Rattus norvegicus: one gene and its partner. The protein of the gene in region 1 interacts with the protein of each later gene in a pairwise test. Links are inferred from orthologs where the notes say so. Each region holds a gene or a part of one and is shown on either strand. Other genes may lie near its edges. The genes, in order: Apoa1 and Apoc1.

Region 1 (3,766 bases):
CCATACTCAGCCCACCGTACCCAGCTCTCCTGCTCTCCTATCCTGGGGAGTGAGCCTAGACCCTCACCGTTCTGGGAGGACATATCCTCACTGATTACATGACCCCTTTTAGTGGTCATGGTATATGGTAAGGTTGTCTCTGGAAGGGAGGCTGAGTAATAACTTCTACACATAACAAAAACATTGGCAACTAGGGCTGGAGAGATGGCTCAGTGGTTAAGACTGAGGTTAGGGCTGCTCTTCCAAAGGTCCTGAGTTCAGTTGCCGCAACCACAGGGTGGCTCACAACCATCTGCAATGGGATCTGATTTCAACCTCCGGCAGAGCACTCGTGTACATAAAATAAATGAATCTTTAAAAACAAACATTGGCAACTCTAAGGTCTGGATAAAAAAAGATCAATCATAGACTCCTTGACTAGCATTTTCGAGGTTTCCATCCCCAGCCAGACACCAGGCATGCATATTTTAAAGCTAGGCTTGTGGCACATTCTAGCACTTGGAAGGATGAAGCAGGGTTATCTTGAGTTGGAGGTAGGCTTGAGCTTCACAGAAAGACCTTGTCTCCAAAAGGGACAGAGGAGGGAGGTTGGGAGGGAGAGCAGGAAGGAGCTGACAACTCCATGTTGGCCTCTGTCATTTCCTCTGAATCATCAGAGGTGTCTTCACCCTCAGCCTGGGGGCCTGAGCCCCCTGCATTTCACCTAGTCAATTACCTGATGCCTCGGTTGTTATTGGATTTAGGGTTGGGAGGCTGGGGATGTGACATCTGGAGAGATGAATCCCCAAACTCGGGAGACCAGGGTGAAGCGAAAGGGGGAACCTCTTGGAATGCAACGAAACTTTGAGGCGGGGATGTGAGTTCAGGAGCCCAAAATTCCTCACTCTTCCTACCCTGCTCCAGGTTCAGGGCACTAGCAACACAGAGGAGCCCAGGAGTGGACTACATGAGACTAACTAAAAGAACACATATACCGCAGGATGGGGCAACTGCCTTACCCCCTGGGGACCCTTGGAGTCTGCAGCTACTCCCCGCTGCCCCCACCTGAACCCTTGATCCCAGCTCTGCAGCCCCCGCAGCTTCCTGTTTGCCCACTCTGTTTGCCTAGCCTCGGGAACAGAGCTGATCCTTGAACTCTAAGTTCCACATCGCCAGCAAAAGTAAGCAGTGACAGGGCCAGCCTGAGCTTATCAGTCTCCCAGCCCAGGCCCTGCCCACACACATATATAGGTCAGGGAAGAAGACCTGGACACCCAGACTGTTGGAGAGCTCCGGGGGAGGTAAGTGCTGCTACCTACCCTAGGCTACTCTAGTTCCCTCATGCCTCCCAGTGGATGCCCCACTGTCCAAAGCAATACCATGGATATCTGGGATCTGTCCCCACTCCAGATAGTTCTTCTACTGGGTTGAATGTGTGTGGCACCTCTCCATGGCAGCACCTCCCTTCAGTGCAGCCATTCTTCTTCTTCTTCTCCAGGTCGCCCACATCCTTCAGGATGAAAGCTGCAGTGTTGGCTGTGGCCCTGGTCTTCCTGACAGGTGGGTGCCTCTTGGTCTCCATGGACTAACTCCCTCCCTGGGCACAGAGAACAGAATTCCCACTGCTCTCCTCCAAGGCTCCAAGTCTGACATGTCAGCTCAGGCCCCAGCCCAGAGTTGACCTAACATGGGTCTCCTCTCCATCCTCAGGTTGCCAAGCTTGGGAGTTCTGGCAGCAAGATGAGCCCCAGTCCCAATGGGACAGGGTGAAGGATTTCGCCACTGTGTATGTGGATGCAGTCAAGGACAGCGGCAGAGACTATGTGTCCCAGTTTGAATCCTCCACTTTGGGCAAACAGCTGAAGTAAGGAAGGACCTAGTGTGGGTCCTGGAGCAGGGCAAGGGCTGCCCATCCAGGGTGGGCAGAGGAACCCTGTAAGAAGATCCTGTAACTGAGCTGGCTAGACCTTCACCTGCTTTCCTACCAGCTGGGCACCATGGAGGATTCCAATGGGAGGACTAGAGATGGGATTCATCTGGTTGTAGGGTAACCAGCCTGTGGATTCAAAATCCCTTTTCCTTGGTAACCCCCAGTACTGGTCAGACAGCACAAAAAAAAAAAAAAAAAGACAAAAAACCAAAACCAACAACAACAACAAAAATGGGACTGGCCTTGCAACTGGCACCAACCACATCTGTGATCTTGGTGCCTCAGGCCATGTGTACAGAGGGATGGGAAGGGAGGAAGGGAGTTATAGGGAGTTATAGAGTTCAGGGAAACTAGGAGCATAGCAACTACTATTGGAACAGGTGGCACCTAGGCCTGACCCCAGGTATCATGTGCATGGATCTGCAGACCAGGGGCAGTGCAGGATGCCTGGGGTCATCTCTCAGCTGCTCTCTTCCCCTCTAGCCTGAATCTCCTGGACAACTGGGACACTCTGGGTTCAACTGTTGGTCGCCTACAGGAACAGCTAGGCCCAGTGACTCAGGAGTTCTGGGCTAACCTGGAGAAAGAAACAGATTGGCTGAGAAACGAGATGAACAAGGACCTGGAGAATGTGAAACAGAAGATGCAGCCCCACCTGGATGAATTCCAGGAGAAGTGGAACGAGGAGGTCGAGGCCTACCGCCAGAAGCTGGAGCCTCTGGGCACCGAGCTTCACAAAAACGCGAAGGAGATGCAAAGGCATCTAAAGGTTGTGGCCGAGGAGTTTCGAGACCGCATGCGTGTGAATGCAGACGCGCTGCGCGCAAAGTTTGGGCTCTACAGCGATCAGATGCGCGAGAACCTGGCCCAGCGCCTGACCGAGATCAAGAACCACCCTACCCTGATCGAGTATCATACCAAGGCCAGCGACCACCTGAAGACACTTGGTGAGAAAGCCAAACCCGCGCTGGATGACCTGGGCCAGGGCCTGATGCCGGTGCTGGAAGCCTGGAAGGCCAAAATCATGAGTATGATCGATGAGGCCAAAAAGAAGCTGAACGCTTAGTGAGGCGCCCGTCACCACTCCCCACCCCTGAATTGGCTTTCTTACAATAAACGTTTCCAAAGTGGAATGACTTCTTTCTTTGGGTGACATAGGGAGGACGCTAAGGGGACATCAAGGGATATGGAAACATGGTGCTGCGGTGAGGGTTCCTTTGTACGGGGCTACTCAGCTCTTCAAGCTCACTCAAGCTGGGCACCTGGCTGGTTTAGAGTATGAGACACAATCCCTTCCTAAGAAAGGCTCAGAGGGAAATGATAGCCAGGCAAAACAACAAGGAGACCCCAAAGGGCCCCACGGAGGCCCAGATCACTAGTGCTGGAACCAGGTTAGGAGTGGCTGGAAATTAGACTGGCTTTGAGAGGACTGGTTTCTTGTGCTAGAAGTGTTTGGGGGAAGGATGGAAGTCCGCGGGGTAGAGGATGGGAGCCCCTTCCACTCCCTGGAGCCAGGATTCCTAACGGGCTCTCAATCACTCACCCCAAACCTCTCAGCAAACAATTCCCTTTTACCCCTCCTCCCCCCACACACACACCTCCAGAAACTGGCGGGCTGTGAATGCCTCAGGGCTGCAGCCTCTCTACCTGCCAATTGGGTGCAAAAACAAACAAACGAACAACCCATTTCGTGATGCTGATCGCCACACATTTATTAGAGAGGCCTTCATAGCCATCTCTAAACCCTGAAGGATGACCTTTAAGTCCACCACAGCTGGGGAAGCCGAGCTGAGATGTCTGAAGTTAGTCACTGCAGGAAAGGTGGGTCAGGATGTGCTGTGCCTTTTTAAAAATAAA
Region 2 (4,295 bases), on another chromosome or scaffold:
CATGGGGGAGCCCGGTGGTAAGTGGATCATACATTTAATCCCAGCAGGCAGACCTCTGAGTTCAAGACCAGCCTGACGTACAGACAGGACAGCCAGGGCTACACAGAGAAACCCTATCTTGACAAAACAAGAAAGAAAAAAAATCAGAGTTGAACGACTAGTAATTTAACGACCTTAGCTGTGCTCCCATTACCCTACCTGTGGTACAGGAAGCTCTCGTTGCTAAGAGAAAGGACATAGGAAGCACCGGGCAGAGTAAGGGGGACATCTGTTACATTATTCAGATGGGTGCTTGAGGATTGAGCAGGACTCCTTTCAAGAAGCAAGAGGGTCAGGCCTGGCGCCCACAGGGACTGGAAGCTGTGAGCTGGCCCCAGAGATGTTGCAACCCGGCCAGGGTCGAATCTGTTCTACCCCTTTCACAACCATCCCCCTGTTGTGCCCCCATCCTCCCACCCCCAGCTGACACGTGGGTTGCAGGGGCACCAGGCCAGCCAACCTAGAGTCTGGGCCTCTTAGCCACCAGCTGCCAGGGGGTCACTGGCGGTCATTGACGGCTCTGGAGGGAGGGAAGGGCCTTGGACTGTAGCCTGAGAGAAAGGATGTGGTGGAGGGAGGGGGCGGGGAAGCAGGCTTCAGATCTGGAGGGGCCTAGGAGGCCCAACAAGAGCTAATAGTGTTGGGGAGGGGAGTGAGGGTTGTGCTGGTTCAGGGGCACTGTGGAGCTTTGCAAGCTGAGAGGCTCTGCAGTTTTGACTAGCTAAAGAGGCAACTTGTAAAGAAGGGAGATGACGGCTGTCAAAGACCCTAGAGAGCATCAAAGGAGGTCTGAGGGTTTCCAGATACAAAGGCACTGGAGGTGAAGGAAACCAGAGCCCAGCATCCAGGACAGAGAGTGTGAGCTGAGGCTTCTGGACAAGGACAGGGTAGAGAAGAGCTAACCTGAGGGTGCAGTGTGAGCTGGGGTAAGATTTGGGGGCTTGGGGGGAGTTGTTTGTAAGACACACACCCCGCCAAGGTGAACAACCTCAGAGAGAGTGTGAGTAGGTAGAGCAGCCAAGGCTGGGTGAAGATCAGTGAGATTTGGAAGTGAGGGTGCTGACCAGTGAGGAGCCTTAGGCCTAAACAAAATGTTTGGACCGGGATCTGGCTCCCAGTATCCACCAGTATGGCAGAACAGGGTGGGTCGGTTGTGTTGGTGCCTATAATCCCAGCACTCACTAGAGAGGCAGAAGCAGGAGGATCACAAATTCCAGGCCAGCCAAAAATTCTGTTAATAAAAATAAAAAAGGAGGTGGGCACAGAGACAAGGGGGAGGCTCAAGGGGAGGGCGATCAACCTGCTCCGCCCCCTCCCCAACCCGTTAAACCTCTGTGCAGGATCCTCCCACCCCTGCGGGCCTCCTGAGAGAACCTTAGATCCAGGTTAGTGCCTGGGAAAGTGTTCCCCACTTCCCACAGATAAGGGATTGGGGTGGTGGGATCATAGTGGTGGGAGGTGGTGGGTACTAGTGATGCCCCCTATCCGCGCGCGTCTGCCTCCAGGGTGCCCCTCCAGCCAGGATGAGGCTCTTCATCGCACTTCCTGTCCTGATCGTGGTCGTAGCCATGGCTTTGGAAGGTAAGAGGCTTGGAAGTCTGAAGTTGGTCTTGGGCCTGTGGCCCAGGCTTAGAGGACTCTTGAGGGAGAGCTCTGAGGTCCCTTTCTATGTCACCATTCCACTACCGCTCTCCAATCATCCCCCAACCCATTGGCCAGGTGCCTTATTTTTCTATCAAGGTGGGTGCTGCAGGAGGCAAGTCTGTCCAGAAAAGACCTTAGTAACCAATGACCCTTTGGGATTGGCTAATCTTCCTAGAAGGGGTGGCGCGTAAAAACAAGGAGGTGGGCAGTGCAGTAAAAATAAGTGTCCAATACTCTTCCCCCAATGCTAACGGGTTTGCTTACAACCATCTCGCTGCAGGCCCAGCCCCTGCCCAGGCGGCCCCTGACTTTTCCAGCGCAATGGAGAGCTTACCGGATAAACTAAAAGAGTTTGGGAACACTTTGGAAGATAAGGCCCGGGCAGCCATTGAGCATATCAAACAGAAGGAAATTATGATCAAGACTCGGTTAGGACCTTTCAGGGCACGGGCGGATGTTCTCTTTCTTTCTGTGTGTGTGTGTGTGTGTGTGTGTGTGTGTGTGTGTGTGTGTGTGTGTGTCCCGTCCCAACACTGACACAATGTGGAAACAGCAGCAGAGTGATTGACGCCTAGTAACACCTAGTTGTCTGTCTGTTAGAGATGATTGTAGTGACTGGTTAGGGTAGACCTTGTCCCTTCCCTGTGTACTCTTGAGACAGGACATGACTTTGATCCCCTGGGACAGAGAAAGAATGTAGGAGAGTTGGGGCAGGGTCACAGCCAGAGTTGTGCAGGCCGCAGCTCTGCAGTTTAGACTGGCCAAAGAGAGATTAGGGCTGGCTAAGATCCCAGCAGCCAGGCTGTGGTGGTGCACGCCTTTAATCCCAGCACTGGAAAGGCAGAGGCAGGCAGATCTCTTGAGTTTGAGGCCAGCCTGGTCTACAGAGCTAGGTTTAGGATAGCCAGGGCTATACAGAGAAACCCTGTCTCAAACAAACAAACAAACAAACAAACAAAAAAGGCCCCAGCAAATTGGGAGGCTAAGGAAAAGAATCAGGAGTTTGAGACTAGCCTGGGTTACAGGGCAAGCCTCTGACTAAAAATGAGGAACAAAAAAATAACGAAAAAGCAGGAGGTGAAGACAGACACCCCAAGAGGCGCTTGGTATGTTGTAAACAGGTTGGTTAGCCAATTTGGCAAGTAGACAAGTTAAAGGTCTGATTTTGATTATGAATATCCAGCCAGACTTAAACTTGGCCAGGAAGTGCAAAGGCCCTGGGGCGGGAAGATCTGTAGATAAGAGAGAATGGCCTTCTAGACATCGGCTTAGAACTCGGGCCAAGGACAGGCCAGGATGAGTGGAGACAGCTTGGGCAAGCACAGGCTAGAGAAGGAGAGGGTGGGAAGCAGGAGATGGCAAGGCTTCTGAGGTGCAGCTGCACATGTTTTTAATCTCAGCAAGAAAGAAAAACAAACAAGCTTTAAAAAAAAACTTTTAAAAAAAGGAGAAGGAGGAGGGAGACTGAGAAAAGATCAAAGATCATTCAGTGCCTAAAATGCCTGTGAGTATCTGAAGTTGATACCCAGAATCTACATCTTAAAAGTTAGTCACAGGGTTCGGTTAAGAGAGCACGTGCTGCTCTTGCAGAGGACCAGGGTTCTGTGTCTCCCCCACACTCACGCACCTATGTCAGCACAGCTCACTGTGGCCTGTAACTCCAGCTCCAAGGACTCCAGTCCCCTCTCCTGGACCTGCAGGCACCAGAGCACAGATACAGGAACAAAACAAGACTTCAAGAGAATGTATAAGTGCCAGCCAGTGGTGGTGCACGCCTTTAACCCAGCACCCCGGAGGCGGAGGCAGAGGCAGGCGGATCTCTGAGTTCAAGGATACAGAGTTAGTTAGAGGTAGCCAGGGCTATGCAGAGAAACCCTGTGTCAAAACAAAACAAAATCGTGAGTGAGAGAAGTATGGTGCTGCATGCTTTTTTTTTTTTTTTTTTTTTTGGTTCTTTTTTTCGGAGCTGGGGACCGAACCCAGGGCCTTGCGCTTCCTAGGTAAGCGCTCTACCACTGAGCTAAATCCCCAGCCCCGGTGCTGCATGCTTTTAACCCCACTGATGGGGAGGACAGAGAGAACCCTGGCTTCAGCTAGGACAATCAGATGGACCCTGGGGTAAGCTAGCCAGCTGGCTGGCTATGCTAGGAGCCTGGATCAGGGACATACCTGAGGAAGACCTGAGGTTGTCCTTCATCCTCTATAGTCACCTGCTAGCTACCTCCCCACAGTGGCTGGCTTTGAAAGCCAGGTCAAGATGAAGTTTTTTGAGTTTTTGTTTCACAGTGCCCCATCTGGGCTGGGGATGTCACTCAGTGGGTAGAGCGCTTGCCTTGAGTGCTCCAAACCCCATAGTTTGGTCCCCAACACCAGCATTTGAGGGATGCAGATAGGAGGATTGGAAGTTCAAGGTCATCATCGGTCATCATCCTTAGCTACATATCAAGGTTAAGGCTAGCCTGAGCTATATGAGACCCTGTCTCTAAAACCCCACACACAAATTCTTTGCTCTGTGTGAGGGAACTTACCAGAGGTTTTCATCCCACAGACAGTATGAAGGGAGATAAAGAAAGGAACAGGGGCTGGAGAGATGGCTCAGTGGTTAAGAGCAC

The links.
Region 2: the proteins of Apoa1 (region 1) and Apoc1 interact in a two-hybrid assay, tested with the Homo sapiens proteins (2 studies listed by BioGRID, with this or other methods). The link is inferred for Rattus norvegicus from reciprocal best matches to the Homo sapiens genes APOA1 and APOC1.

What each region holds. Positions count from the first base shown.
Region 1 is NC_086026.1:55,422,690-55,426,455, forward strand, and holds Apoa1 (apolipoprotein A-I preproprotein), read left to right. Parts: upstream 1-1,255; 5' UTR 1,256-1,280; intron 1,281-1,477; 5' UTR 1,478-1,496; coding exon 1,497-1,539; intron 1,540-1,689; coding exon 1,690-1,843; intron 1,844-2,392; coding exon 2,393-2,975; 3' UTR 2,976-3,040; downstream 3,041-3,766. UniProt on the Homo sapiens protein: Participates in the reverse transport of cholesterol from tissues to the liver for excretion by promoting cholesterol efflux from tissues and by acting as a cofactor for the lecithin cholesterol acyltransferase (LCAT).
Region 2 is NC_086019.1:88,475,405-88,479,699, reverse strand, and holds the start of Apoc1 (apolipoprotein C-I precursor), read left to right. Parts: upstream 1-1,394; 5' UTR 1,395-1,424; intron 1,425-1,479; exon of another isoform or gene 1,480-1,544; 5' UTR 1,545-1,562; coding exon 1,563-1,620; intron 1,621-1,963; coding exon 1,964-2,111; intron 2,112-4,295. UniProt on the Homo sapiens protein: Inhibitor of lipoprotein binding to the low density lipoprotein (LDL) receptor, LDL receptor-related protein, and very low density lipoprotein (VLDL) receptor.